4 linked regions of the Saccharomyces cerevisiae S288C genome follow. Changing the gene in region 3 together with the main gene of any one other region gives a genetic interaction. Each region holds a gene or a part of one and is shown on either strand. Other genes may lie near its edges.

The links.
Region 1: mutations in ILV3 (region 3) and PSP1 together harm fitness more than expected from each alone (negative genetic interaction), as found in Saccharomyces cerevisiae (one large-scale study listed by BioGRID).
Region 2: mutations in ILV3 (region 3) and SKN1 together harm fitness more than expected from each alone (negative genetic interaction), as found in Saccharomyces cerevisiae (one large-scale study listed by BioGRID).
Region 4: mutations in ILV3 (region 3) and POS5 together harm fitness more than expected from each alone (negative genetic interaction), as found in Saccharomyces cerevisiae (one large-scale study listed by BioGRID).

Annotation. Positions count from the first base shown.
Region 1 is NC_001136.10:1,456,085-1,464,783, forward strand, and holds PSP1 (Psp1p), read right to left. Parts: upstream 3,137-8,699; coding exon 611-3,136; downstream 1-610. Other genes in the region: SPG3 (Spg3p), read right to left, coding at 227-610; GMC1 (putative oxidoreductase), read right to left, coding at 3,644-5,470; protein kinase GIN4, read right to left, coding at 6,274-8,699. UniProt on the Saccharomyces cerevisiae protein: DNA polymerase alpha mutation suppressor.
Region 2 is NC_001139.9:771,765-780,376, forward strand, and holds SKN1 (beta-glucan synthesis-associated protein SKN1), read left to right. Parts: upstream 1-3,428; coding exon 3,429-5,744; downstream 5,745-8,612. Other genes in the region: VPS62 (Vps62p), read left to right, coding at 1-208; BTN2 (Btn2p), read left to right, coding at 690-1,922. UniProt on the Saccharomyces cerevisiae protein: Required for synthesis of the major beta-glucans of the yeast cell wall.
Region 3 is NC_001142.9:462,057-469,936, forward strand, and holds ILV3 (dihydroxy-acid dehydratase ILV3), read right to left. Parts: upstream 4,153-7,880; coding exon 2,395-4,152; downstream 1-2,394. Other genes in the region: TMA22 (Tma22p), read left to right, coding at 1-369; YJR015W (uncharacterized protein), read left to right, coding at 665-2,197; peptidylprolyl isomerase ESS1, read right to left, coding at 4,465-4,977; TES1 (palmitoyl-CoA hydrolase), read right to left, coding at 5,176-6,225; REC107 (Rec107p), read right to left, coding at 6,499-7,127, 7,208-7,523; U4/U6-U5 snRNP complex subunit LSM8, read left to right, coding at 7,728-7,880. UniProt on the Saccharomyces cerevisiae protein: Dihydroxyacid dehydratase that catalyzes the third step in the common pathway leading to biosynthesis of branched-chain amino acids.
Region 4 is NC_001148.4:187,336-194,635, forward strand, and holds POS5 (NADH kinase), read left to right. Parts: upstream 1-4,070; coding exon 4,071-5,315; downstream 5,316-7,300. Other genes in the region: NAB3 (Nab3p), read right to left, coding at 1-390; COA2 (Coa2p), read right to left, coding at 972-1,178; GUP2 (putative O-acyltransferase), read left to right, coding at 1,819-3,648; MF(ALPHA)1 (Mf(Alpha)1p), read left to right, coding at 6,313-6,810; UIP4 (Uip4p), read right to left, coding at 7,177-7,300. UniProt on the Saccharomyces cerevisiae protein: Phosphorylates both NADH and NAD(+), with a twofold preference for NADH. Anti-oxidant factor and key source of the cellular reductant NADPH.

The sequences.
Region 1 (8,699 bases), on a different chromosome or scaffold from region 3:
GCCACGATAACAGACCTTGATTAAATGTAAACTACATATAAGTTTATAAGGGTTGGTTGATTCCATTATTTTTTGTTTTTTATATAAAGCCTATGAAAAATAAATGGAAGCGGCTGTTAGAATATAAAATAGAAGTTGAAACAACAAAAATGTAAGAAAGTTGCCAACAATAAATCTCAAACTTGAAAGTGTGGATCGAGGAATATGGACAATCTTTAAAAAATTTTTAGTCCCGTAGTTTTTCGAATTTTTCCTTACCAGTGACCATGAAACCATGATTGGGAGACGTATAAGTAATTTTTATCAAAGTTAAACAGAATAATGAACATTTTCTTCTATTTCTCCCTGTGAAGTTTTCATATAGAAAAAAACATAAGGGAAAGAAAATATTGATAATAGAAAGATAGTACCAAATTGAATTGGCAGGAAAATAGGTAAACAACGAACAGAAACGATAAAACAAAATAACATAAAAAAAGTAGACAAAAATAAAAACAAAAACAAAAACAAACAAAAACAAAAACAATGAAAAAATGTTAACAAAATAATGGCAAATGGTTGTCTTTTCTTTTAGAAAATTTATAGTTACAACAAGGAAATAACAGATCATTTAATGAAATAATTCGTGAACTAATTCTTCATACACAGCAATCTGAAAGTTGTCGAGTTCAATTTCGTTCAACGGAGGTGCAAAATTAACTCTGTTATTCCCCCTGTTCTGCGAAAACTCATTGACATTCATTAAATCTTCAGCATTGTAATTTTTTACTATGTTTTGATATAATTTCAGCTCTTTTTGTTGTTTATCATAATACTTAGAATCAATAGACAGATTATTCGGGATGGCACACAACCAAATTCTTGTCTTGTAATATTTGAACAGCTCTTTTATCAAGTCTCTAAAATCATTTCTCTCCTCACAAACGTAGTAAAACGTTAATTTCTTTCTATCAAATTGGAATTCTGCGTTTAAAATCTTGATATTCAATTTAGGCTTTGAATAAGTTGCAGCATTCGTAAAATTATTGGAAGAACTGTCATTTGTATTTTGAGATTTTGAATTATCATTTAACGCTTGTAATTTACTCTGAGCAATATGCAAGGCTTTTAATTCATCTTCAAATTTATTGTGCAAATTCGTTGTTACCTCCCACGGGGTGGCAAAACGTAAGACTTGTTTAGATGGTATGATTAACTCAGTTAATTCAACAACATCATACAATTTGGGATTTAATTTTTTCTTTTGCCCATTTTTTGAGTCAATCAACATTTGAATAAACTCATCATTGCGATAGTGCTGTGACTCACTTGTAATTAAAGAGTCAAAGTGAATTTTCTTTTTCAGAAAATTTATAAATAATGCTAAATTCAAATCGACAGAGGGCTCAACAACCAATACTAAATCCCTTCCACGGTCACCATCAATAATAACCAAGTCACCTCTCTTTAACAACAAATTGGTAGCTTGTGGAGTAGATAGTAGTTCAAGTTTCCCATTTTTCAAAGCAACCAGTACCAATGGTGTATAAGGTAAAAAGGAGTTATTAGCATTCCTGCATGATAGTTCTGTTGTGAAAGAGCCCTTCCTCCTATTTTTATTGCCTCCATTATTGGAAACAATTCCATTATTCGACTCTGGATCATTAACGTAATTCATGTTGCAACTTCTTAAAATGTCCAAGAAATTTAATAAAGATTGGTATGTATTACCTTCTTCATCGATTAAGCCCATGTTCTTCGCGTCGTAACTTTCATTAGAATCGTGCAACTTCAGCATTTTCTTAATATTATCTGTGAATTCAAAAACTGCAGAGCTAGCAAAATAGCCGCTGCCACAGTCGCTGTATAAATCGTGTAAGGTTTTGGACGAAGTCAAGTGTTTACCCTGAATTAAAACTAAACCATTGTCCAAAGATACATTTCCTTCATTGCTGTTCTCGTTCTGAAGGTTATGTGAGTTTGTAGAAGAAGGGACAGAACTGCTTCTTTGAAGTTGAACAAGCTGAACATCATCAACACGTTCGCCATTGAAAGAAGTAGGTACATTAACGTTTCTTGGTTGTTGTGGTTGTTGTGGTTGTTGCTGTTGTTGTTGAAAAGTAGGAAGGGATGGATTGAAGCTCGCTACCGGTTGTGTATTCCGGCGAAACTGTTGCATTGGAACCATATTGTGACTGTTGTTGTTGTTATTACTATTGCTGATACTGGCATTATTAGGCTCGTTATCATAAGGATACGGAGGTTGTACACCATTTCCAAACTCGGGCACACCTTTGGCGGTCAAATGGGTTGAGTTCAAGTTGTCATAGTTGAATCTGCTATTGAAAAGATTGAAACCTTGAGCGTGTTGCTGCTGCACTTGGGATGTTTGCTTTTGCCGAGCGTCAGGCATTTGATGGTTGATTAGAGTATCTGATATGTAGGAGGATCTCCTAATGGTAGACTCTGGATGAGATGGCTGTTGCCAATTAAATGATGGTACTTGTTGGTTGTTCATACTAGATGGGTTGCCAGCACTGTGTGATGGGGCAGCAAAATTGCTGCCGCTATTGGAAGTAAAACCTATGTTTGTTTTATTCATTAAACGCATGTAGTCTGAATCCATCCGATTCCCCATTAGGTCGTTTCCATTTGAATGAAATGAATTTCCATTAAATTGCGGGAACGACCGTTGTTGAGCTTGATAATTACCCATTTGAGTAGAGTTTAAATTATTGTTATTGGATGAAATGGGCGGTGCGGACATCGGCTCTGAATTAGACGAAGACATTTGAAAAGAGGTCAAATTACTGGAAGGGTGTTCTTGAATGAACCCGTTCTGGTGAGAAAACGGTTGCTGTTGTTGATTTGGCACTGGTGGCAAATACGGAAACCTACCCATAAAATCAATATCGTCAAAAGTCCTCCTGTTTTCCATACCATTTCCCGCACTTTTTATTGAGTTTCTCAAATTATTCAGGCCAGCAAGCGGATCAACCGTATCACTTCCTGAATTATTGGAGTTATCATTCAGTTTACGGGGTAAATCGGATAGCGATTTTCCGCTGTTATTCTTGAAAAGCAAGTCCTCATAGTAGTTCTTTAAATCCACATTGTCGGAAATGCTTGTTGTGCTATTAACAGTTGGGAGGTCCATTTTGCAACTGTATTTCTATTGAGCACTGTATCAGACACCGCTTTTTTTGATTTATCCTTCGTTTTTTTCTCTATAATTCTCTTGAGCCTTTCAATACACTTTATTCTTTTCTATATACGCTGTTTACTATATCAAAGAACACTCGAACTGATGCTATCTCTGTTTCTAACTGCCGAACCAATGAAAAATACAGCTCTTAATTATCAGTGAATCCTTCTTCTTATCCTTTATTTATTTTTGTTTTGTTCCTTTAGCTAAAACACGGATCCGTAATGTTATCCAACACGATTAGGGGAAGGATTCGTCTCCAAAAAACCGTTATGACCCAATCCTATATGACCTACGGCAGTCAGAGAAATACAGGTTTTCGCACTCGGAGGCGATTGTCGCCAATGGAAAGCTAGCCGATACTTTTTCCGTCAGCTTTGCGGGTTTTCTTTTTTGCGGCCTTGTAAACGGCTGTGGGAAAAGCGAAAAAAAGCAATGAGTTGGGAGAAATGGATGTGATTACATGAGCAACCAGTAGAAGATAGCATCAACCGCACACATGATTAGGATGTAGACGGCTATTACCTTGGACTTATTTTGTTCAAGTGCGGCTGTATGGACAACAGTGTTAGGGTCAGGTTCCTTGGTAGGGTACGATAATACAGCTGTAGTTGCTTGTTTGGTACTGTCCTCGGTTGTTGTCGGAACCTCAAAGACAATGCCAAGCCCCTTCATCATGTGCCACTCCACATGACAATGTAAAAGCCATTTTCCGGGCATCTCGGTGTTAATTCTCAAAACCGCGTAAGAATTTCCTGCAATGTTAATGCTATCCCTTACCATCGGTGCCTTTCCGGTTCGGGCCAGGTGACGTAAATCGTTCTGATAGCGGCTCCATGCCTTGCCCTCTTGTACGTCTTTGTGAAATGGGCCATCACCTTTATTGCCAAGAGATATTATCTGGAAGTGATGGCCATGCATATGCCATGGGTGTCTCATGTGGTCCAGTGAGTTGATTACAATATCATATGTTTCGTTGAATCCGAACCTTACCGGGTCTTTTACGTACTCGCTGAATGTCCGTTCGTTCACCTTATACATCCCAGTCCCATACTTTTGTTTCGTGCTTTCATCTTTGTAATAAGCATAATCGAATTCGAAAACTGCAACAGGATCAGCCTTTGTGCGTAACTTTTTATTCTCTTCTTGCGTTGGTTCTATGTCGCGATAAAGCTCGGCCTTAGTGAAACCAGGCAAGTGTTCGATGGAAACGTCATTGGGGTTCTTTGGTAGGTCCAAATGAGCGCCTTCTTTGTAAAACCACCACTGTTTTGTTATATAACCCATCATTTTGTTACAGCCATTAATCATACGAATAAAACTAGTGTCAGACTTTAGTTTGACCAAAATTGTATATCTTTGTCCGACCGCTAAATTTATCGTTTGTACAATGAACGGTTTAATCATAATCCCGTCGGCTTCTAGAACAATTAATTGGAATCCATCAAGGTGAAAGACTTGAGTACCAGACATTCCTGAGTTTACGATTCTCAAAAGAAGATACTCGGTGTTAAATCCTATTTTGATAGTTTCACCGTCAGATGATTTTCCATTTATTAATGATCCATCAAATTTGGGATCTGTACCCCCGGTAGATGACAAAACCTTGTCGTTTAAAATGTCCAAATTCCAATTGGTATACCAATCACTCAAAGTGATAATCCTTTCTTGAACTTCATAATCCGTCAATTCCTTCGTGTGTTTATCTTTTTTCATTGTAACAACACCGTCATCTAGTGTCTCTATGTCTCTCACAGAATTAATAGTATTTGCCACATGATTATCATAATCATCGCATTCAACTATCAGAACACCTCTCATACCGTCACCGTATTGTACTGATGAATGCGAATGGTACCAAAAAGTACCACAGGTTGATTGATCAATGGTAAAATTATACCAATAACTTTCTCCATATCCAATAGTGGGCTGTGTTAAACCTGGAATTCCATCAAATTCATTTGCTAAAGGTACCACCCCATGAAAATGTAAAGCTGTTGAACAGTAATCCTTCCAAACATCACTGTCTTTACTAGCTTCTTCTTCTGAACATATCCAGTTAGTCAATTTCAAGTTAAGAGTGTCACCGGATTTAACTCGAATTTCTGGGCCAAATGTAGCGCTGTAGCCATTTATGGAGATAACTCTTCTCTTATCAAGCGTGTATTCACTGCTCGCATTGAATTCTAAGACATGTATTTTGCCTTCCTTAGCGGCCATAATAAATTTTAATAGTATTAAGAGTAGCATTGGCAACTGAACCGGCTTAAGGAGAATGACCTTCATTCTAAACAAGTTGTCCACGGAGTTTTGCAATAATTACTTAATAACTTTGTTTAACCGCCCAGTATGTGCCACTTTATTAGCTTTGGCCTTAATGTGGACAGCTGAGATGAAGGTGGATCCTCTATGACTATCCCCGAAAAAAATGTAAACTAAAAAATATTGGTTGCTAAGAGATTCGAACTCTTGCATCTTACGATACCTGAGTATTCCCACAGTTCACTGCGGTCAAGATTTTTTCTTGAATCAGGCGCCTTAGACCGCTCGGCCAAACAACCACTTATTTGTTGAAATTTTTGTATCATATGTTTGTATATATCATATCCCATTTTTTAAGAGAGTAACTTCTTGTCGGCCTCATTGTTCATAATTTGTAGCCAAGTTGTAGTGATAAATAATAATTTAGGCAGATATTCTTATATGCTTGAGTGGAACTTCTAGCATATTCAGTATACTTGATATTAAAGCCTTTAACAACAATTAATGTTCGGAAAATTAAACTGTTACATAATTTATGTTTAGCTCTTACTTTAATCCCAAAGAGGGCAAATAGCTTTTAAATCTTCAACTACTATAACTATAACTACTTTTCTTTCATATATAGTTAGAAAAACAAACGGTTATACAAATAGTAATCAACACGATATTTTAAGGGTAAATATAATAGTACATAGAGTCCAGTACCTCCATTAGATTGTTATTTAAAGTATTAATACGGAGGGGAAAAAATAAGCAAAAATAATATGAGCGAAATATTATGGCAGAACAAAACGAAGGAGACAAAACATGATTGCATTACATTAGCACTATTTTTGTAGAACGCCTTCCTTATTCAGGACGTTCTCAACTTCATTGACCAACTTTTTGACAGCTTTGAATGAACCAGAAACTTTCTTGAACTGCACAACGCTCATCTTACCTCTCGGATAAATATTAACCTCAAAGAGTGTTGAACGTAGTGAGAATATATTATCACTCGATAGTTTACCCGTTAAGGTCAGATTGTTGGGGTGCGATTTTATATTTTTTAAACCATACTGAGTCCAACCACGCAACAGCTTCTCTAAACCATTAAACAATTGTTTTGCAGAAATCTTGGCATACAATTCCATTGTTTTGTCCGAAGATTTTGAGAATTTTCTAAAGAAGGAACCATTTCCAATTGCTGTATTTTTATCCTGCTTATGCTCTTTTAAGTGATCTTTTGAATGATCCTTTGCCTGCGAGCCAGCATTTTTTTCCCTAATTTTTTGCACAGATTTGTTCAATGGTGGCTCCATATCATCTACTACTTTCTCTCTTTTTTCTTGATCCTCTTCTTGTTTGTGTTGTTCTGGCTTTTTCTCTTCCTTTTCCTCATTTTCTTCTTCCTTTTCAGTATGTGAAGAAGAGCCTGATTCTGGTATCATCGATTTAATCTTTGGATGTGCCTGGTCACCCTCTTGGCTATTCTGTTTACGCAATTCATTGTCACCATTAAGCGGAGGAAGGATCGGAAGATGTAAGTTATCAGTTTGTTTCGCTTCGTTCGATCCATTAAAACGATCTGCAAAGTTCAGCTTTAACGCGGATTTGTCTTTGATAGTGGAATCACCGACATCGTACAATCTCTCATCGTTCGAACTATTTCCTGTATATTCAGCTTCTTCGTTGACAGTTTCAAAAAGAAATTCTGAATCATCCGCACTTCTTGGTGTTGGAATTCTTTGGCTTTGTTGGTTATTGACATCAAGGTTACCGTTTTTCAAAATATCAACCAAGTTGGTAAACGACTCCTTGGTAGAGTACATCGACAGGACAGATAGCCTTTTATTGGACTCACTAAAATGCCTTGATTTTCTAGTAAATTGTGGTACTCTAATTTCAGAGATCTTCCTCAACCTACCATCAGAGACGGGAGCAGTTGTTGCGGTACTATCCTTTAATTGAGATACGCCATTCCCATCCTTCGGGAGGATCAAAGATTCATATCCATCATTAGAATCTGACACCACTCGCTCCTCTGACAATCTTTGTGGTGCAATTATACTTGGATATTCCATTTTAGACAATTTCAACTCTTTATCGATATTAAATGATGAACCCAAGAATTTTGATCTTCTGATAGTTTCTAAAATTTTCTTTTCTGTTGTAAGTCTTTCATTTTCTGTTCTCTTTGGTTCCACTGGACTTACTTCCTCAGTTGGACTGGAGAACATTATACCCGGATCAAGCCTTGACACAGGTCTAGTTTGTAAAGAAAAGTTGCGGCGACGGAGAATATTGTCAATATCAACCTCCAAATGATTGATATTTTTCTCTTCATTTTCCATAGGAGCAGAGATAGATCTAATATTACCATCCAGTTTTTCCTCTTTGTGTTTGGACAGCTCTTGCTCTAGATCACTTATATCAATTTCAATTTGCTTCTTGAGTTCCTCCTGTTTTCTTTTCAGATCTTCCTTTTCTAGTAATTTTCTTGCACGTTCTTTTTCTTCTTGTTTACGTCTTCTACGTTCCAGCTCTTCACGTGCTTTTGCTTCTCTCACTTTACGTTCTAGCTCTTCCTTCTCTTTCCTTATTTGTTCGTACTTTTCGTACTCAAAAATTTCATCTATCAAAGTTGCAAAATTTGAGCTCGTTCTCTTTGTTTCCTTCTCAATGTATTCCCAATCGTCATCCTCTGCCAATTTCGCATATGTTGACATTAATTTTGTTGTCACCGATTCACGTTTCATGCTTGGTATCAATGACATTCTCTTGATAGATCTAGAAGATCTTTTGTTCTTCTTGGTAGTAGAAAAGATAGAGGCTCTTTTTTGATTCTTTTCCACATTTATAACCGAAGCTCTTTTATTACGTGATGCTGGTGTTGGAGAAGATTGGTTAACGATTGTAGATAATTTCTTCTTTGAAGAGAAGTTTTTTGAAAGGCGTTTTGAAGAACCGGGTGTAGTTAGATTGCTGGAGGAGGCACTGGAGGCAGTGAATTTGTTGAAGGATATTGGCTTTTTACGAGAAGATGTTACACTAATTAAAGATTCTCTATTTCTTCTGCGTTGTGGAGTTGTCGATACTTTTTTAGATGGGGAAACAGAAACGCTACTAATTGACTGCCTCTTCTTAACTTGCTGTTGCTTAATAAGCTCTTTTTGAGTGTCACACTTAAATCTATACAGTAGTGCATATAATGTCTTTTCTGCATTAGCGCCAGGTTCTCTTAGTTTTTCCTTAATTCCTTCAGGATCTCTTC
Region 2 (8,612 bases), on a different chromosome or scaffold from region 3:
ATTTAAATGGTGGAATTTTTGGAAGGGCTGCCCGGCAAGAAGATATATAAAAAGAGGGGAAGGTTTGGATGCAGAAAAGAATGATCTTGTGGGTGACAATTGTGGTATCTTGCTGTACAACATAAGGCCAAAGTGGCTGCGTAGCATACTCCGTTTTTTGACGTGGAGGGGAAGCGTATGTTTCATTATGGACTACTTTACAGGGTAATGAATATTTGGGCGTTTTTCGCTATTTTAGCATGCTGTAGTGTATGTACTGTGCATCGTCATGTAGCACTATTTCAGCCGTATTTTTCTTTTTTTCTTTCGCACCGTCTGTGGTTGTAAAGTTACTGACACTTTTTTTTCTAGAAAGTTCCGGAAAATTGCGACACTCGGTGGAGCTCGAGAGTTGTATCCAGTTTTCTTGTTCGGCGATATTCCGAACCAGGTCGGGTTGGGCTAACAGCCGCCCAGGATGGAAGAATTAAGAATTTCATAGAAGCCTTCAGTTCTTGGCGAAGTAAAGTGGCAAAACAAATGGAAGATCTATTGCATTACATATATAAAAGCATTAGAACAATCTTTTCTCATTGACAGGTATTCTCATTGCTCTATATATATTTTCTTCTTCTTGAAAGAAATATCAGTATTACAATCATAACAACAACCAAAAGAAAATAACTAATAGACCCCATTACAATATAGAAATGTTTTCCATATTCAATTCACCATGTGTTTTTGAACAGCTGCCATCTTTTAGTCAGCCCCTACATTCGCGTTATTTTGATTGCAGTTCTCCAGTGAGCTATTATCCAGAATGTAAAAGGAGGAAAGCAATAAAAGCTAACCTAAGAGCTCCAAAAAAAAGCGATGCAAATTGTTCAGAACCTTTGAGGTATGCACTTGCTGAAACACCAAATGGTTATACATTAAGCTTGTCTAAGCGGATTCCATATGAACTTTTTTCAAAGTACGTTAATGAGAAATTAGGTGAGCTAAAGGAGAACCATTACAGACCAACTTACCATGTTGTCCAAGATTTTTTTGGAAACCAGTATTATGTTGAAGATGAAGCGGATGAAGATGCTCTATTGAGATCTGCATTGAAAGATCTGGATTTTAGAGCCATAGGAAAGAAAATTGCTAAGGATCTTTTCCAAGACTACGAAATAGAATTGAATCATAGAGGTGATGAATTGAGCATATTGAGTAAGAAGGATAAAATCTTTAAGGAATTCTCTCTAGACCAAGTGTTTGAAGATGTTTTTGTTATTGGCTGTGGAGTTGAAAACATAGATGATGGCTCGAGAGAAAAATATGCACTTTTAAAGATTGGTTTAGTTAAGCATGAGGAAGAAATTTCCGAAGGTGGCATCAACGAACCAAAGATGCCAATAATTGAATCCAAAATAGACGAGTCTCACGATGATGTTAACATGTCTGAATCTTTGAAGGAGGAAGAAGCGGAGAAAGCGAAAGAACCACTAACCAAAGAAGACCAAATAAAAAAATGGATAGAGGAAGAAAGATTGATGCAGGAGGAAAGCAGAAAATCAGAACAGGAAAAAGCTGCCAAGGAAGATGAAGAAAGGCAAAAGAAAGAGAAGGAAGCCAGATTGAAGGCAAGGAAAGAATCTTTGATAAATAAGCAAAAAACCAAGAGGTCCCAGCAAAAAAAATTGCAAAATTCCAAATCATTGCCTATCTCTGAGATTGAGGCCAGCAATAAAAATAATAATAGCAATTCTGGTTCAGCAGAAAGTGATAATGAAAGTATAAACAGTGATTCTGATACGACTTTGGATTTCTCTGTGTCTGGTAATACACTAAAAAAACACGCTTCACCCCTATTAGAAGACGTTGAGGATGAGGAAGTTGACAGATACAACGAGTCCCTAAGCAGATCTCCCAAGGGAAACTCTATTATTGAGGAGATATAATGGGTGATAATACATACTCCCCATCTTTCATTTTTACGGCATTAAATAACTAATTATATGCATCTTATATACTACTATAATTCACTGACTTTATGAAAGGAATATAAATCGGCACGGCAGAAGGCGGATTTATTTTGTTACAATATAACAAAATAAAAGGGCAACAGTAAAGTAGAAATTATTAGTATCCGTGATTTTAGTACAATTATTTGCTTCCTAGAAATCCGGTTTTCCATGTTAACATTTATGCTAGTATTTTATGGTGGAATGGCAAGTGATTCACAAAATACAAGCTACTTTATCGAATGATTGAAATTCATTTCTGCTTGAATAGAATTCAACTATCGTTTATCGATTCTATTTTGAGGATTCCTATACCCTCGAGGAGAACTTCTAGTATATTCTATATACCTAATATTACTACTGTTATTAACAATGGAATCCCAACAATTATCTCAAAATTCACCAATATCTCAATTCCATCTTTAGAAAAATTAAGTTCAAATTAACGGAAACAGTAATCAAGTAAAAGAGCTTTTTTTTTCTTCTCCCCTTCCTGCCCTGAAGATAATTGAGTAAATGTTACGTTGAGAATGGCTTTTTGATATTTCATTAGATTTACTTCATTATTCTTCTCTATTCTCCCCTTTCATCAATTAATTGGGCGTGTGGCGTAGTCGGTAGCGCGCTCCCTTAGCATGGGAGAGGTCTCCGGTTCGATTCCGGACTCGTCCAAATTTTTTTACTTTTAATGAGGTATACTGGAATATTACGGCTCTTTTTTTTTAGAAACATATTCCTCAAATGGGTAAACGGACCCTGGTGCAAGGTGTGGGTGCTGAGACAAATACGATCTGAGTTGTTTTAAAAAGGAAAACAAATGAATGCGTGCCCAAAGCGGAAAATTGGTCAACATCGATGCGTAATTAGTAGGCCCAGGTGAGCCTGTGCCGAACATGTATCTCTGCGCAGATTACTATATATTCCCGAGCATAACAGCATATAGTTTTCTTTCACATAGGCCTTCCTCCAACTGCCATCACTGTACATAGACGTTTCGGCACTGTATATTCTTGTCCCTTTTTTTTTGCCTACTACATTGCTGCATTCAAACGATATCGCTCTGCGAACCGTTTAAAACTGACCAAAATAGGGAGACCTACCTTCTAAGGAGAAAAAATTCGCATTGCTAAAAAAAAGCTAAAAGAGAAAGAGAAGAAGAATATTAAACCAGTATATTCTACTACAACTATCGATTTACTCCGACTACAAAGTGCCTCTTCGTATTTTCAGTCGCTCGAAAAAACAACCCATATTCCATTTGATTCTACGCAGCTGGTAGAAACTTTTACAGGTTTGATAAAATTATTACAATCGTTAGCGGTTACGCAAGGAATAGGAAATAAAGAAACGGTAAATAATAAGAAAAACACAGCAGATCTAAGCCTATTGCACACAGTATATTATAACCATTACTAGCTAGTGTTACATAAACAATAGCAGAATATGTCTGTGCGAAACCTCACCAATAATCGTCATTCCAACAGCGAAAATAGTGTTTCCGGAAGCGAAAACTCCTTTTATTCCTCGAATGAGCAATCAAGACAAAGCTCATCATTAGAACCTGCAGATGGTCAGAACGTTAGGGTGAGCGGTAATCCTTTCCTTGGAAGTGAAGAATTTGACGAAGATTATAATTCACCCAGTGGAGACGATGAGCGGCGTGGGGCAAATGAATATTCCAGTTCTTCATCCATAAATTATAATAACGATCCTAACAGCGATACTTCTCTTCTGGCTAATGAAAAGAACTCACCCGAGAGAAATGGTCAAAGAATGTCAGACTATAAGGGCTATTATGCTAAGACTAACCTAACTTCTGCTAATAACTTAAACAATCATAATAACAATAATTATAAGAACATTATAAGCAGTAGTAACGATAATAGTTTTGCATCACATTTACAGCCGCCGGACAGAAACTTACCGTCTCATCCTTCTTCAAATAATATGAGTAGCTTTTCTAACAACAGCTTAATTAAGTCTCCACCACCTTTTGACAGATATCCGCTAGTAGGAACGAGGCATATTTCAGCGGCTCAATCTCAGTCGCAGAACCTTATAAATGAAAAGAAAAGAGCGAATATGACTGGCTCATCTTCTTCTGCTCACGACTCTTCATTATCATCCACCAACTTATACATGGGCGAACAGGATTTTTCGCCCTTTGGCGGTTATCCAGCTTCCTTCTTTCCGTTAACGTTGGACGAAAAGGAAGACGATGACTACATTCATAATCCAAATGTCGAGGAAGAAGCAAAGTTAGATAGAAGGAGGTTCGTTGACGACTTCAAACACATGGATAGAAGATCTTTCTTGGGGCTTCTGGGTATTCTATTTTTATTTATGGCTGGTATATTTATTTTCATTGTATTACCTGCAATTACATTTTCCGGGGTAGTTTATCATCATGAACATGTTCATGCGGCAAATTCAGCAGGATCGTCGTCTTCTAATACTACATCCAAGTCATTGACTGAATATCAATATCCTCAACTTGCGGCTATAAGGACAACTTTAGTTGATCCAGACACACCTGACAGTGCGAAGACAAGAGTAGCGAAAGATGGATCTAAATGGCAGCTGGTGTTTTCCGATGAATTTAATGCTGAAGGTAGGACCTTTTACGATGGCGATGACCAGTTTTGGACAGCTCCTGACATCCACTACGACGCTACGAAAGATCTTGAATGGTACTCACCAGATGCCGTTACAACTACAAATGGTACCTTGACGTTGAGAATGGATGCATTCAGAAACCATGACCTTTATTACAGATCTGGTATGGTACAGAGCTGGAACAAACTCTGCTTTACAGAAGGTGCGTTAGAAGTTTCCGCGAACCTCCCTAATTATGGTCGAGTTACAGGATTATGGCCTGGTATGTGGACCATGGGGAACTTGGGCAGACCAGGTTATTTGGCGAGTACTCAAGGTGTTTGGCCTTATTCATATGAAGCATGTGACGCTGGTATAACACCAAACCAAAGTTCCCCAGATGGTATTTCTTACTTGCCGGGACAAAAGTTGAGTGTTTGTACTTGTGATAATGAGGATCATCCAAATCAGGGAGTTGGAAGAGGCGCACCGGAAATAGATATTTTAGAAGGTGAAGCTGATACAATTTTGGGTGTTGGTGTTGCGTCACAATCTCTACAAATTGCTCCATTTGATATATGGTACATGCCCGATTATGACTTCATCGAAGTTTATAATTTCACCACAACAACTATGAATACTTACGCTGGTGGGCCTTTTCAACAAGCTGTCTCAGCAATATCCACTTTAAATGTAACATGGTATGAATTTGGGGAGGAAGCAGGTTATTTTCAAAAGTATGCCATTGAATATCTCAATGATGACGACAACGGATATATTCGTTGGTTTGTGGGAGAGAACCCTACTTTCACACTATATGCTACTTCTTTACATCCTAGTGGTAATATTGACTGGAGGAGAATAAGTAAGGAGCCAATGTCAGCGATTTTAAACTTAGGTATTTCCAACAACTGGGCCTATATCGACTGGCAATATATATTTTTCCCGGTGACAATGTCAATAGATTACGTCCGATTATACCAGCCGAAGGGTTCTACGTCCATTACTTGTGATCCTGAGGACTACCCGACATATGATTATATCCAAAGCCATCTAAATGCATATTATAACGCCAATTTAACTGATTGGGAACAGGCTGGATATACTTTCCCAAAAAATATTCTAACAGGAGGTTGTAGTAGTTCAAAATTCTCATTATCCTGAGGTTGATTTTTTTTTTTCAACTGGTTAAAACCTACTATCTAAGTGCGCTTTAATTCTAAGGAGGCAAAATAGTCTGCGGTCACAGTCGTTGAAAGTTCTAGATTTGGGTACGGAAGCAGCCATGTAAATGGTCTTCCTTTGTAATAATATCATCACTGGAGTTTTTAAATTAGAGTACGGATTCAAGTTAGCGAAAAATTTCTGTTGGTATCTGATAGCAATTTGTCGACAAGGTGGAGAGTTTTTGAAGTTTTTTTTTGTAACAGTTATGTTACACTATTTACCAGAGAAACACCAAGACAGGAGCCCTCAGAAGCTTTCGTGTTGTCAGAACATAAATATCTTCTATATGTTTTAATCTTTTATATTAATCAATATTTTATGTTAAATCATATTATTATTCGTTAATGGTTAACTTGCGCTATTTCAAAATTGGAAGGATAGTGTGGTTACAAGCGGTGTTTTTGATGTATGTTTACTGCTAAGAGTATACCGTCCTGTTTACTTTTTTACCTTTTGTTCCGTTATTGATTTTTCGCAGCAAGGTTGAAGCTTCAAATTTGAAAATGAAATTAAGACGTAGAGATGAAAAACAGCGATGAAATTACTTTTTATAGCTTCTTTCCCATCTGACTCCGTTTTATAAACAGGGGTTCTTTAAGGGCTTACAAATAAATATAAACACTAACACATATATATTATTCGACCTACAGTTTTTGCGACCAATGAAGTTTACCTATTTTGAGTTAGTGCTTACGTAGTTTGCTTAAGGTCAAGGTGGTATTAAGCTTGCGCTTTCTCTAAATAATATCATATGGTACAGACAGGGATAAGTACTTCATAATAAACCAATTGCTAGTCCAGTATTTTTGGTACCCTCTTACTGCCGCGAAATTCAACAACTTTTTAACTCGTGAAAGAGGTTAATATTATTATTCATTTTGCTAGAAATACTACTAAACACCCCATTAGGAAGCTGGTAAATTATGAAATCAGCAAAATAAGATCCAACCGGAACGAATTTATTAGAAGCTCAAACACAAGGGTTGATAGTGTGATAAAGGAAAGGGGTGACAACGTGTAGAGGGTAAAACTTATTGATTCCTTTTTGTGGATTCCTATACCCTACAAGAACACTGTTGGATATAGACATTATATGCAATATTAATTATGCGACTGATAGGCTTCGTAATTCCTGCTTGAGTAAAGACAAGAATTTTCATTTCTCATTAACTGTTTTTATTTATAACCTAGGAAAAAAAGGAGCTGAAAATTTGTTGGAATAAAAATCCACTATCTTATATCAACTAGTATTCCTAATGTCAGTATATTGTCATATAAGGCGTTAGATGGTGACATAAGGTATGAAAAGTTGCCATCGAAGTTAGAGGAAGCTGAAATGCAAGCATTGATGTAATAGGATCAATGAATATTAACATATAAAACGATGATAATAATATTTATAGAATTGTGTAGAATTACAGATTCCCTTTTATGGATTCCTAAATCCTTGAGGAGAACTTCTAGTATATCTACATACCTAATATTATAGCCTTAATCACAATGGAATCCCAACAATTACATCAGAACCCACACTCTCTTCAATTATTATGTAGAAATTTCGATTCTATTTTGAGGATTCCTATACCCTCGAGTAGAAATTCTAGTATATCCTACATACCTAACATTATTGCTTTATCAATAATGGAATCCCAACAATTATTGTTACAGGCTACGATATTGCGTATAGAAAAAATGTTGAAAGTTCTTCTGCAAGATACAGGAATCCAAAGGGAATCAATATATCTACCTAATAGTATTATTATTTCTTTTCCATTTTATATGTTTCACTATCCTACTATTTCATCGATCCTCTTATTTAAGCTTTTATTAAACCTAATGACTGTTCTATAACTTTTATGTCCTCTTTTTACATCATAAATGATAATTAATATACTAGTGACATGAATACTAATCGATGGATGGTAGTTTGTTCTTATTCTATCAGGGAAATGCATCAGATAATGGATAAAATGGAAAGAATGGAAAGGAATTGTAACATGCCTATATATGGAAAACGAGCTTTTAGAGCTTTCAAGTTAACCCCGGGCGGTTAGTGTAGTGGTTATCATCCCACCCTTCCAAGGTGGGGACACGGGTTCGATTCTCGTACCGCTCAAGATTACTTTTTTAATTTTCATACTTTTTCTCCTAATATCTTGCAAATCATGACTGAATTGACATTAACTGATGCAAATGGGTGGGAAAAATGCTTATCAACCCCCTAAAAAGTCAACTTCTTCGTTAGTGATTGCTATATGTGGCGTCAAGAATTACAAGAAGCTGGCGAGCTTTCCAAGCCCCTTCAGGATTAACCGTTTTTTACCCTTTTTTTACAAATTTACGGCGGGGAATAATTCTGATACTTTCTCTTTATGAGCATTCCTCAACAGGGATCGGCACTCAATTGCTTTAGTGAATAGTTTTTTTTTACGCCAAGAACATTTACCACCCCATTTTCCTGTAGACGTCCAAAACGATACTCTACTTTAAGCCCTTTTTCTGAAGTTTTCATAAAATGTCCGATCTCCTAACGTCATTTTTAAAATCAAATGGTCTTTTAATAATTATGCACGTTAAAAAACATACATAATTGATAGTAAAGAATCTGGTATTCTATCAGTTACCAAGTTCAATCGTAAATTTTTTTACGAGCACTAATAGAAATGGATCATGAAATTGATTTTTTGATTTTCAATTTATGAACTACCCAGATATATAAATATTGGAATAAATTGTGTATTAAGTAGTCGGGAAATATCTTTTATGTTCTCTTTCTTATCATCTAGAAATAATAAATCACAACCA
Region 3 (7,880 bases):
CTGAAAATTCAAAAAAAACAGGAAAACAGGGAACAAAGAGAATTAGCTAAGAAGCTGTCATCGAAAGTGATCATTAAAAGAGAAGCTAGGACCAAGAGAAAGTTTATCGTCGCTATCTCTGGGCTGGAAGTTTTCGACATCGACATGAAAAAGCTAGCCAAGACATTTGCGTCTAGGTTCGCCACAGGGTGCTCAGTCTCGAAAAATGCAGAGAAAAAAGAAGAAGTTGTCATTCAAGGTGACGTGATGGATGAAGTGGAAACTTACATACATTCCTTGCTGGAAGAAAAAGGCCTAAAGGACGTCAAAGTGGAAACCATCGATGCTAAGAAGAAGAAAAAGCCTGCTGCAGAAGGAGCTGCCAAGTAAGCAATCCATAAATATGTAATAGCACCGTTCTGGGAGAAAAGGACTTTTTACTTGGTAACCAGGCGTGTAGGTTAGATAGTCAAACCCTATATCGTTCTTGAGATCGTCGCTCATATATACTGTGCAGCCGGCCCTCGTGCGCCTGCGCCGTTCCTTCTCTGAAACCTTCGTAGTAGGACAATAAATATAGTCCCCATTGCCTATTCAAATTATTTGCAACCGAAAAACTGCAAAATTTGTTGTTGACCATAGGCGTACAAAACACAACTCAATCCAGCCGTAAGTAAGTATAGTTATGACTTCATCTCTAGATGATATAGAACCAACAGCATATAATAATATGGAAGCGGACGAGGAATATTGCAGACGCAACGATATACATGACCTTTCCAGCGTGGTCGGTGATGCTGTCTCACAAGGTGTGCCAGACATGGATGGTCAAACAACGGATTCTTCGAAGGACCCTGAGCCAAATTCCGAGGATAAGAAAGCGTTTCCTCCTTCGAGTGGCTCATTTTTTTCTCCTAATCTACAGGGTCAAAGGAAGAAAGTTCTTTTAAAGTTTGTTTTCACAAATTGCTTACTGGCCATAATTTGCTTTACAATGTTTGTGTTGTTCTGGGGGGCTCTTTACGACACCAGCAAGTATCTACACAAAGTTAAGCTTCTGGTTGTTATCCAGGAACCCCCTGTGGTAATTTTGGATAATAACAGTTCCATGGTAGTGCCCTCCATATCGTATGCTTTGCCTACTTTTATCAATAAAATACCATGTGATTGGGATATTTATAACAGTCCTACCTTCCAGGCCAAGTTCGACGTAAATACGCCACAGCAAGTCAATGACAAGGTTGTCGATTTGGTTTACGACGAAAAATACTGGTTTGCCATTAATATCAAGCCAAACGCCACGGAGACTCTATTTGAATCACTAATCAACGATACCGCACCACTATTCAATTCTACGCTGTTTAATCAGGTGGTATATGAAACTGGTAGAGACCCGACAAACCTAAAATCAACGATTTTACCGGTTGCTCAGACCATTGAAGAGTACTACCATACATTCTACACACTAAATTATCTGCCGCCGTTATTGACAAACATAACCCAGGTATATCGTTATGCACTAACTAACAATGCAAGGTATATCGCTGCAGCAGGTAAATATAACTACGAATACTATGACCACAGACCATTCACAGACCGTATTCTACTGGCACCCACACAAATCGGTGTTGTTTACTGTTTACTGCTAACTTTTTTCCAATTTCTATTGTACGGCCCATTACACGTAGAAATGGCAAAAGTGCTAAGACCAGCCAACGGTTTAATTTACCGTATCGCTATGTCATGGTTCACCTTTTTCTTTGCGTCTTTGTTCTTCTGCACAACAACCGCCATCTTTCAAGTCGATTTTACCAAGTCCTTTGGTAGAGGTGGCTTCGTCGTATATTGGATGTCTACGTGGCTCTTCATGCTTGCTGCGGGAGGAGCTAACGAAAATGCGGTTATGCTTGTTATTACGTTAGGACCCCAGTATCTCGGGTTCTGGATCCTATCATTTGTCATTCTCAATATTGCACCTTCTTTCTTCCCATTAGCGCTAAACAATAATGTTTATAGATATGGGTACATGATGCCCGTTCACAACGTCATCGATATCTACAGGGTTATTTTTTTTGACGTGACAAGACGCAAGATGGGTCGGAATTATGGTATTTTAGTCGCACTCATTGCCTTGAATACGGCACTGTTACCATTTGTTGGCAAGTATGCTAGTAGAAAACTAAAACAGAAGGCTTTAGTGGCAGCAAAGCAGAGTTAATTTCGTAGATTATAATTAAGGCGACTTTTCAAATAAAAAAATACTGATCGTTGTTTTTTTTTAAATAAATGTTTATCCATTCAATGGACTATAATAAATATTTATATATATATATATATGAAAAGATTGCGAACAAAAAAGATGATGGAAAAGGAGAATCTCTATATATATATTCATCGATTGGGGCCTATAATGCATCAAGCATCTAAAACACAACCGTTGGAAGCGTTGGAAACCAACTTAGCATACTTGGATAGAGTACCTCTTGTGTAACGAGGTGGAGGTGCAACCCAACTTTGTTTACGTTGAGCCATTTCCTTATCAGAGACTAATAGGTCAATCTTGTTATTATCAGCATCAATGATAATCTCATCGCCGTCTCTGACCAACCCGATAGGACCACCTTCAGCGGCTTCGGGAACAATGTGGCCGATTAAGAACCCGTGAGAACCACCAGAGAATCTACCATCAGTCAACAATGCAACATCTTTACCCAAACCGTAACCCATCAGAGCAGAGGAAGGCTTTAGCATTTCAGGCATACCTGGTGCACCTCTTGGACCTTCATATCTGATAACAACAACGGTTTTTTCACCCTTCTTGATTTCACCTCTTTCCAAGGCTTCAATAAAGGCACCTTCCTCTTCGAACACACGTGCTCTACCCTTGAAGTAAGTACCTTCCTTACCGGTAATTTTACCCACAGCTCCACCTGGTGCCAATGAACCGTACAGAATTTGCAAGTGACCGTTGGCCTTGATTGGGTGGGAGAGTGGCTTAATAATCTCTTGTCCTTCAGGTAGGCTTGGTGCTTTCTTTGCACGTTCTGCCAAAGTGTCACCGGTAACAGTCATTGTGTTACCGTGCAACATGTTGTTTTCATATAGATACTTAATCACAGATTGGGTACCACCAACGTTAATCAAATCGGCCATGACGTATTTACCAGAAGGTTTGAAGTCACCGATCAATGGTGTAGTATCACTGATTCTTTGGAAATCATCTGGTGACAACTTGACACCCGCAGAGTGAGCAACAGCCACCAAATGCAAAACAGCATTAGTGGACCCACCGGTTGCAACGACATAAGTAATGGCGTTTTCAAAAGCCTCTTTTGTGAGGATATCACGAGGTAAAATACCCAATTCCATTGTCTTCTTGATGTATTCACCAATGTTGTCACACTCAGCTAACTTCTCCTTGGAAACGGCTGGGAAGGAAGAGGAGTTTGGAATGGTCAAACCTAGCACTTCAGCGGCAGAAGCCATTGTGTTGGCAGTATACATACCACCACAAGAACCAGGACCTGGGCATGCATGTTCCACAACATCTTCTCTTTCTTCTTCAGTGAATTGCTTGGAAATATATTCACCGTAGGATTGGAACGCAGAGACGATATCGATGTTTTTAGAGATCTTCGAAGAACCACATGTTGGATGACCGGGCAAGATAGTACCACCATATACCATGATGGAAGGTCTGTTATGTCTACCCATGGCCATCATGACACCGGGCATGTTTTTGTCACATGATGGGATGGCGATGTTAGCATCGTAGTGTTGTGCCATCATGATGGTTTCAAAGGAGTCTGCAATGATTTCTCTACTTTGTAACGAGTATCTCATACCTTTAGTACCCATAGAGATACCGTCTGAAACACCGATGGTGTTGAACTGCATAGCTTTCAAACCCGCTTTTTCAATGGATTGAGAACATCTGTTATTCAAGTCCAATAGATGCATGTTACATGGGTTACCGGACCACCAACAGGAACCAACCCCGACTTGAGGCTTCTTGAAATCTTCCTTCTTGAAACCGGTGGCATAAAGCATGGCCTGGGACGCACCTTGGCCCTTAGGTTCAGTGATGATATACGAGTACTTGTTGAGCTTCTTTGCAACGCATCTCGTTGTAGAGAATTGTCTAGATGTAGCAACTTTCGTTAACAAGCCCATCTCTACTTTTTTCTTGGCTGTTTACAAAAAAATACAAGAATCCGTTACTAAAGATTACAGGCGCTACAATGCATAATAAAACTTCAGTCTCTTCTTTTGTTACATTATATAATATACTACTATATTACTGAGTCATCTGGAGAGGAAAAGAGAAAATTTTTTTTCAGGCCCGGTTCCGCTCGCAGCGAAGAACAGCGCCATTTAACTATGTGACTAGTTAATTTTTTTTCTTTTCATGGGTTCAGCGAGGACGGAATGGATACAAGAGGGAATAAGAACATAAAAAGGTGAGGTGGAGAAGCAAATGCCAACCTAACCTACCCGCTTGATCACATGAACACCGCTTCCTGATTCAACGATATCGCTTACCTCGCCGACCTTGAGCTGGAAGGCAGCGTCTTCAAAGCTAGGCTGCATCTCGCCTCTCCCGAACCAGCCGAGGTCGCCGCCTCGCTTGTATGAAGAGCAATCTGATCTCTCTTTAGCCAGGGCCTCGAAGGAGTTCGTCTTAGAGTCGTCATCCAACCTCGTGATTAAGGTTTTCAGTTCGTCCGTAGCGTCTTGCTTGGATATCGTAATGTTCTCGGATCTATGCGATGCGGGTCTTCTTGAATCCTTGTGCTTGATGAGAATGTGCAGGCATCTTACACGCACTGGATGGTCTCTTAAGTGCTTGTGTAGCTGGTCCTTGTTGGTGCCCTCAGGCTCCTCCCATTGCGAGTGCTTCGTCTCTGGATTGAAAAAATACTCTCTTTTCTTGGACTTACTATACCTGACGGTCCACGGGGTTGGCAGCCCGGTCCTCGATGCTACGTCAGATGGCATTGGTGCGTCGTTGTGGTGCCGTAGTCGGTTATGCGTGGGAATAAGTACCACAATGATCATTCAGGTCCTTTTTCTACTTAGATCGAAGGGAAAAAGGTATGATACCCGCTCGTGAAAGGTGATGTAATAATAAATAGGATATTATTATATAATATAAGAATATATATGTATGTGTTTATACGTGGGAGGGAATTGTCCTCAGAACTTGGCTCGAATGTCTCGTTCTGACCCGTAGACAACGTAGCCCTCCTGAGAGACGCTTGCCATGATGCGTCCCGACTGTGTGTCGAAATACTTGCCCTGTACGAGGTGCTTGTCCCAGTGGGACCTGGGATTCGAAATCTTAAGATAGATCCAATTGTTCACATGAGGCAACTGGTGAAAGTAAATCGTGTGGTCGAGCGAGACACTGAAACTGTGGCAGTACAAAGGCAGGTTGTGGAAGTACGGGATCGTGAGTAGGAGGTAGGAATCGGACAGATACGCAAAGGCCACGTAGTTGTAGCGAGCGTCGTTCTCAGGAGTAATGCTCTTCGGGATCCTGTACGGATGATGCTTGTGTAAAGAAGACTCGTCGCCCGCGTGCTCCACGGTAGTGATGGGAGGTCTCACTTTGACGAAATAATCCAGCTCGTCGGTGTGTCTTGCCGAGTAGAACATGTCCTTGGGGAATTGGTACTCCATGACTCCGTATTGAAACGCATCCACATACTTGCTCATCGAGGTTGCGTCTTGGAACCTGTCGGACAATGAGGCATACCTGCTCAATTTCTGTGGGTCCAGAACTTCTTTCTGGAAAAGCGAAGTGGCCTCTTCATAACGATGAGGGTCTGGCTGCTTACCTTGCAGGCCTGGAATCGTCTCCCAGTGCTGCAAGGAGTCGTGCTCCTTGGACCGTTGCACGGCAAATAAGATCATCGACGTAAATATCAACTTGTCGTGCTGATAAGCACTAACCTGCTTATGGATGAAATTTCTACCGTTTCTCAGATTCTGCACATGGTACGTGATCTTGGTCCGCGGATCACCACCCTTGATGAAATACGAATGTAGCGATGTGGGGAAGAAGTTCAATGGCACAGTATGCAATGACGCCAGCAGCGATTGTGATACCAGCGTTCCACCAAAAGTGCCCTTAGACCCTACGGGCGCGGCAGGCAGATACTTTGTGACAAAACTGGTAGGCGAAAGAGGAACCAGTTCCAATATTTTCTCTAGGTTGGACATGGCCATTTTGGAAGCACTCATTTTTATGCAATCTTGTCTTATCTTGTCTTGCTCATGGTGGATACTGAATTGAAACCCTTTTCTGGTTTATATCCAACTGGCGTGGTTTTTCATTGTAGGATGAGGCTCGGTGTTTATGCCGTCTCTTCCGAGGATGCAATCAAAGGCTCTCTCCTTTGTTGGGGTAGTAGCAAGTCCAATAAGCAACGCTTGTTTGTTGATTGGGCCGATTTACATAGCCTATACACTGCTGTTACATATGCCTGTGTAGAATGAAAAAGCAGGACGCCCGTTTCACAGCTCAGATTCCAGAGTGTCGGGTCTTAGTTCCTCCCAGGGAATAATGGTCCTGGCCGCACGCTTCAGCCGATGGCTAGCGTCATCATTGTCTTCGCTATTGTGGTTTTGGCTGGTGGATAGGGTTGGGGAGCTGGATCTTCTGCGTTTCATGGACCTTGTGACCATCATTCTTGGTGGCGGCACGGACTTCTTACGCTGCTTATCGTGGGCTTCGTCCATATCGTGCAGGAGTGTGGTGCCATTCAGAGACACATCCGGGCGATCGTAGGCGTGATCTGCCTTTTCTCGAAACGCCATCTCTAGAGCAGTCTGGCGGGTTTGTAGACTGTGCATGTCTTTGGATAGAGACAGGAGCACTTTATGCACGTCCTCCAGTTGGCTGCCGACGTTGAAGAGCATCTCCTGGGTGCACCTCATCGACTTTTCCGTCTCATGCTGCTTGTTAGTTACGTGTCGCGTTATCTTGGAATTATACCTGCTTATTTCTTCGACTAATACCTGCCTGTAGCTGGAATCCGACTTTGTCTTCTTCTCGTCGCCTTTCGATAACATTGCTGTTGACACTTTGTCCAGTTGGTTTTCAATCTGGGAAGCCAAATCCTTTATTAAGGTTTTCACGTTTCCTATACTACAGTTGTTAGTAAATGTGTTTTGGAAGAAAATGAATAAAAAACTTGAGGGTATGCACTGTGTTGGTACGAACCGTTCGTAGCAGCATCTTGTTCCAGTAGCTGGTTAAACTTGTTTAGCGATTTACATAATGTCTTAGAATTTTCATTTAAAACTTTAATTAGCTTGTCAGAGTTTTCCCTCAGCTCCATACTCTCCAATTCCAGTTTACCTGCCCATTCCAGTATCTGCTTGTCCGATTCCTCTAAAGCGCCTGCATTCGCTACTTTCCCACTGTGGGAGAATATAGATCTGAACGGTGATGATGTTTCTGTAATCATCAACGAGTGTTCAGAATTAGCCTCTGAAACATCTGTAGATATCTCGTCTGTTCTACCTCTAGCGACCATTTTACTAAATGTTTCTACACGTCTGCAGTATCCTTGTTTTGCTTGTTTTCCTTCTTTCTGTTCTTGTTGATTTTCCCTTTAAGTCCTGAAAATACTATCATGGCGTAAAGGGAAAAAAAAAAACTAATCTTACGTGGTTCTTATAAGATGGACCAGCAAGCTGCATACAGTACACCATACAAGAAGAACACACTATCGTGCACCATGTCAGCCACCTTGAAAGACTACTTAAATAAAAGAGTTGTTATAATCAAAGTTGACGGCGAATGCCTCATAGCAAGCCTAAACGGCTTCGACAAAAATACTAATCTATTCATAACCAATGTTTTCAACCGCATAAGCAAGGAATTCATCTGC
Region 4 (7,300 bases), on a different chromosome or scaffold from region 3:
TTCTTCTTCATCATCATCGTCGTCATCATCATCATCGTCATCATCCTCTTCTTCCTCTTCTTCCTCTTCATTATCATCATCGTCATCATCATTTCCGCCTTTTTGTTGATGTTCTTCTTCTTCTTCTTCTTCTGTGTTTATTACTTCCCCGTTTTCCTCTCCTTTTTCCTCCTTATCTTCCTCCTCTTCATCGTTCACATCTTCCAGTTCGTGTTGTTCTTCATTTTCCTCCTCCCTTTCGGCTTCTCTTTCTTCCTCTGGGGCGTCAAATTCGATTCCATCGTCTGCGCTTGAGTTATTCATCAATTCATTCTCGTTAGAGTTACTATCGACGGATAGTTCAGGTGAAGGAATATCTTGAACATCACTGTTATGGTTTTCATCTGACATGGCTTGCAGATGGTTATTATATTATGAAAGGACAGTCCGGGAAAAACGTAAGTCAATTATTATATTTTGACCAAAGAAAATCGCTTGTTGCTGTGCAGAATCTAATAAAGATGCTCAAGATAGCTTTTATTAGACCTTCATTTAGAAGTGGCAAAATCAAATGAATTGTTTTTTGTCCTTTGCTTCTTCCGCTTCATTTTCTCTTCAACAATTCAGGGTTACACTCAATCACGTGGGATACCATAATTTATCGTTCTACAAAAAAATGCAAGCACGAACTAGGGCGGTAGTTAGGAAGCGAATAAGAATAGCGCTTTTTCGTTTCAATTTGGAATATTAAAGAGTGATATTATTAATGGTTTTCTTTTTTGGAATGTGATCTATATACATATTTAAATAGTCTCTTTTGTATTTGTGGTGTCATAATGAAACTGCATCACACCAGATGCTTACCCATACAGAAAGTCGATTGATTATGAAACTTGAAGTAGCGAAGATTACGGCACTCGAAAATAAATAAAAAGAGGAAATAAAAGAGATAGAATACAACTTATCAAAAGTTCCAGATAGCCCGTACCTGTTTAAATCTTTTTACTTAAAGCATCCTTCCTCTTTAACTCCTGCTCATGAGCAAGCTGAAGCTTGTGTTGCTGTACAGCTGGTGAATCAGAATCCACTGAATGTGCTGGACATGGCAGCACAGAACCGATGGCCACTGATGCGAATGCAATGAGAAATGTAGAAAAGTATAGGTTATTGACTATTTTGTTTCTAGTGACTGCTCTCATGATATGTGTCTGAATTAAACTAATTGGCCTTCCGTGCCTGTAAATTCAATAAATAAATAGGATGTTAAATTTTCCTAATGTGTCTCGAGGTGCTTATGTTATCGTGCAAGCGCTGAGTTCGAAACGCTGTTTTGATGAATATCCTATATATATCAAAAGTACAAACACGGGGAAAGAGAGCCATCCCATCAAAAAAAATAAAAAAAGAAAACCCTTGCAGAAGGAGAACTGGTGTAGAGGTTTCCGGTCTTAATGGACTTAAGCACGTGACTTTTAAAACCCATGCATCGGTTACTATGGTTACCATTACTTACGATTTTTTTTTTTTCGTTATGAACCCTGTGCCCGAGGGGTTTTCAGGCACATAGATCAAAGTTCTACTCGTTTACCTGTAATCTTGGCGCGTTTAGGTCTCTTTTTTTTTCTTTTTTTTTTCTTCTTTTTTCATTTGTACTGCGTTATAGTTGTTTATGGAAGGTACCAATGGTGAATATGGAAAAAATGAAGTCAAATAGAAGAAGAAAGAGAAGCTAGCTTTGAGGTAGGTACTGTTTTGAGGGTTTTTGGGTGCTTCAAATTTGTCTTCTCAACTACCTTATTATAGGGCTCAAAAATAATTGACGTCATCGCTACAAGTCAGATGTCGATGTTAAGAATCTGGAGTTGCATCGTACATTTCTTTTCCGTGCAGGCACTTGATTCACGAATAAAGCCAGACATTGAATTCAAAAGGCGACAAAGGATATTTATCAATTCATCTAAAGAAGAGAATGGTTCATCTTCTAGTGCCGTTACTGTTACCCGTAACCCTGTGCTCAGCTCTAATAGCCCATCTCCTCCGCTATGGAATACATGGGAATTTAGACTATATTATTTGGCGTTCACCGTAGTAGTTCCTTTCATGATAAAGGCGGCATTGGCTACGAGCTCCGAGTCTAATCCAAACTACTATAAATTCAGCGGACTGCTAGCCCATGGTTGGATTCTGGGCCGCAAAGTGGATAACAGCGATCCTCAGTATAGGTTTTTTAGATCCAATTTTTTTTTGTTGGCCATCTTAATATTACTACAAATTATATTAAAAAAGGTTTTTGTTAAATTTAGTAAAATTCCGAAAACAAAATTCGATTTTGCGTGTGGATTAGTTTTTGTCTGTTTCATGTACGGGATCAATTCTGTTAAGCTCTTTACGCATGCTTTTATTTTCTTCACTTTGGCACATTCGCTAAAGAGAAAGCGTTTGATAGCCGCTTTTGCGATTTGGTCCTATGGTATCTTTACACTATTCATCAATCAAAAAATGAAAAATCTCCCCTTTAATAATATTGCTATCATCCTAAGTCCCATGGATCAATGGTATAAGGGTATCGTTCCTCGATGGGATTTTTTTTTCAATTTTACATTATTGCGTTTGTTAAGTTACTCCATGGATTTTTTGGAAAGATGGCATGAACAATTGAGCCGCCAACCTTCGATAGATTACGATGATAGACGACCTGAATTCAGAAAAAGTTTATCTGGTTCTACTCTACAAACCATTTATGAGTCAGGTAAGAATGTTCTGGAGGAAAAGGAACGACTGGTAGCAGAACATCACATCCAGGATTACAACTTTATCAATTTTATCGCTTATATTACTTACGCGCCATTGTTTTTAGTGGGCCCAATTATCACTTTTAATGACTACCTTTATCAATCAGAAAATAAGCTTCCTTCGCTAACGAAAAAAAACATAGGCTTCTATGCCCTCAAAGTATTTTCGAGTTTGCTTTTGATGGAAATTATCCTACATTATATCTATGTGGGTGCAATAGCAAGGACCAAGGCATGGAACAATGATACACCCTTGCAACAGGCTATGATCGCGCTGTTCAACTTGAACATTATGTATTTAAAACTTTTGATCCCATGGAGGCTCTTTCGGCTGTGGGCCATGGTCGATGGTATTGATGCACCTGAAAATATGCTACGATGTGTGGATAATAATTATAGTACAGTGGGATTCTGGAGAGCCTGGCATACAAGTTTTAACAAGTGGGTAATCCGTTACATCTATGTTCCATTTGGCGGGTCCAATAACAAAATATTAACGAGCTTTGCCGTATTCTCATTTGTAGCAATATGGCATGACATCCAATTACGAGTGTTGTTTTGGGGGTGGTTAACAGTCCTTTTATTATTAGGCGAAACCTACATTACTAACTGTTTTAGTAGATATAGATTCAGAAGCTGGTACAGGTTTGTTTGCGGTATCGGTGCTGCAATAAATATTTGCATGATGATGATTATTAATGTCTATGGATTTTGCTTGGGTGCAGAGGGAACGAAGCTTCTATTGAAGGGCATATTTAACAATTCACATAGTCCGGAGTTTTTGACTGCGGTAATGGTAAGCCTATTTATTGCTGTTCAGGTAATGTTTGAGATTAGAGAAGAAGAAAAAAGACATGGCATCAACTTGAAATGTTGATCTAGTTATTAGATAAGCTATGAAAGTCAATCCTTTTAATCGAGAATGTAAATATGTGGAATACACAATTTTAACCAAAGTACTATATATGCGTTACAAGTAATTTAAATTTAAGTTCACCGAAGTAAAACTAACTGCAAGATTGTTACAAAGAACAATGCACTATTTAAATCACACAATGGCTATTGAAAACTGTAACTGTCAGAAATGCTGCATGTATCTATATGCATCACTAAGTTGCGACTTTTAAGAAACTTCCACAGTTCTCAACTCTTCTTTGTGCTTTTCACACATTTTCACAATTTTCCGAAATCTCCAAATTGAAAAAAAAATAAAAATAAAAAAAGGCAGGAGAAGACTAAGTATTCATTATTCGCTGTTTCATAAATAAAAGGATAAAAAGGTTAAGGATACTGATTAAAATGTTTGTCAGGGTTAAATTGAATAAACCAGTAAAATGGTATAGGTTCTATAGTACGTTGGATTCACATTCCCTAAAGTTACAGAGCGGCTCGAAGTTTGTAAAAATAAAGCCAGTAAATAACTTGAGGAGTAGTTCATCAGCAGATTTCGTGTCCCCACCAAATTCCAAATTACAATCTTTAATCTGGCAGAACCCTTTACAAAATGTTTATATAACTAAAAAACCATGGACTCCATCCACAAGAGAAGCGATGGTTGAATTCATAACTCATTTACATGAGTCATACCCCGAGGTGAACGTCATTGTTCAACCCGATGTGGCAGAAGAAATTTCCCAGGATTTCAAATCTCCTTTGGAGAATGATCCCAACCGACCTCATATACTTTATACTGGTCCTGAACAAGATATCGTAAACAGAACAGACTTATTGGTGACATTGGGAGGTGATGGGACTATTTTACACGGCGTATCAATGTTCGGAAATACGCAAGTTCCTCCGGTTTTAGCATTTGCTCTGGGCACTCTGGGCTTTCTATCACCGTTTGATTTTAAGGAGCATAAAAAGGTCTTTCAGGAAGTAATCAGCTCTAGAGCCAAATGTTTGCATAGAACACGGCTAGAATGTCATTTGAAAAAAAAGGATAGCAACTCATCTATTGTGACCCATGCTATGAATGACATATTCTTACATAGGGGTAATTCCCCTCATCTCACTAACCTGGACATTTTCATTGATGGGGAATTTTTGACAAGAACGACAGCAGATGGTGTTGCATTGGCCACTCCAACGGGTTCCACAGCATATTCATTATCAGCAGGTGGATCTATTGTTTCCCCATTAGTCCCTGCTATTTTAATGACACCAATTTGTCCTCGCTCTTTGTCATTCCGACCACTGATTTTGCCTCATTCATCCCACATTAGGATAAAGATAGGTTCCAAATTGAACCAAAAACCAGTCAACAGTGTGGTAAAACTTTCTGTTGATGGTATTCCTCAACAGGATTTAGATGTTGGTGATGAAATTTATGTTATAAATGAGGTCGGCACTATATACATAGATGGTACTCAGCTTCCGACGACAAGAAAAACTGAAAATGACTTTAATAATTCAAAAAAGCCTAAAAGGTCAGGGATTTATTGTGTCGCCAAGACCGAGAATGACTGGATTAGAGGAATCAATGAACTTTTAGGATTCAATTCTAGCTTTAGGCTGACCAAGAGACAGACTGATAATGATTAAACGCTCTGAATGCAAAGATTCAATGAGATTCTCTAAGAATTCTATTGATAAGATTTAAAGGTATTTGACAAGTAGAGATCTTTATTTTTTCTTGCATTTTGTCTAGAGAAATCTCAACTGACATACTCGACATGAAATTTTTGGTATTGTGTCTTTTATTCTATTGCTTTAAGAAAACTGTGACATATAGGGAAGACATGCTTAACAAGAAGATATAATTATATAATATATATATTATTAATAATAACATCCTTACTGCAGTCCTGTTGTGGGAGAAAATGGAGAGAGACTATGTTTCGTATCAATTCCTAAAATCAAAAAAAAAAAAAAAAAAAAGTTAAACAAGCACTCGCTGTTCATTTGTTTTACAAGTATTCATACTCTAATAGGTCATTGAGCTTCTTTTCTTGAGGAGAGATCCAATTTGAAGTCGGAATAAGATTTGCTTTCATTAGCGTAGGCAATAATTATGAGATAAATGGTGCAGCACTATTAAGTAGTGTGGATTTCAATAATTTCCGAATTAGGAATAAATGCGCTAAATAGACATCCCGTTCTCTTTGGTAATCTGCATAATTCTGATGCAATATCCAACAACTATTTGTGCAATTATTTAACAAAATCCAATTAACTTTCCTAATTAGTCCTTCAATAGAACATCTGTATTCCTTTTTTTTATGAACACCTTCCTAATTAGGCCATCAACGACAGTAAATTTTGCCGAATTTAATAGCTTCTACTGAAAAACAGTGGACCATGTGAAAAGATGCATCTCATTTATCAAACACATAATATTCAAGTGAGCCTTACTTCAATTGTATTGAAGTGCAAGAAAACCAAAAAGCAACAACAGGTTTTGGATAAGTACATATATAAGAGGGCCTTTTGTTCCCATCAAAAATGTTACTGTTCTTACGATTCATTTACGATTCAAGAATAGTTCAAACAAGAAGATTACAAACTATCAATTTCATACACAATATAAACGATTAAAAGAATGAGATTTCCTTCAATTTTTACTGCAGTTTTATTCGCAGCATCCTCCGCATTAGCTGCTCCAGTCAACACTACAACAGAAGATGAAACGGCACAAATTCCGGCTGAAGCTGTCATCGGTTACTTAGATTTAGAAGGGGATTTCGATGTTGCTGTTTTGCCATTTTCCAACAGCACAAATAACGGGTTATTGTTTATAAATACTACTATTGCCAGCATTGCTGCTAAAGAAGAAGGGGTATCTTTGGATAAAAGAGAGGCTGAAGCTTGGCATTGGTTGCAACTAAAACCTGGCCAACCAATGTACAAGAGAGAAGCCGAAGCTGAAGCTTGGCATTGGCTGCAACTAAAGCCTGGCCAACCAATGTACAAAAGAGAAGCCGACGCTGAAGCTTGGCATTGGCTGCAACTAAAGCCTGGCCAACCAATGTACAAAAGAGAAGCCGACGCTGAAGCTTGGCATTGGTTGCAGTTAAAACCCGGCCAACCAATGTACTAAGCCCGACTGATAACAACAGTGTAGATGTAACAAAGTCGACTTTGTTCCCACTGTACTTTTAGCTCGTACAAAATACAATATACTTTTCATTTCTCCGTAAACAACATGTTTTCCCATGTAATATCCTTTTCTATTTTTCGTTCCGTTACCAACTTTACACATACTTTATATAGCTATTCACTTCTATACACTAAAAAACTAAGACAATTTTAATTTTGCTGCCTGCCATATTTCAATTTGTTATAAATTCCTATAATTTATCCTATTAGTAGCTAAAAAAAGATGAATGTGAATCGAATCCTAAGAGAATTCAACAGCGTAAAATACAAAGAGGATAACGACAACGAAAAAAAATACACTCCCTGATTATGATGCCTCTGAGCTTGACATTTTCGTTGTCAACCAAGAAAACCATGAGCCAAAAAAGCGTCCTAACGCTCCCAGTAGCTTTTTCAAAACACTTTCATAATCTTCAGTATTGGCATCGCCT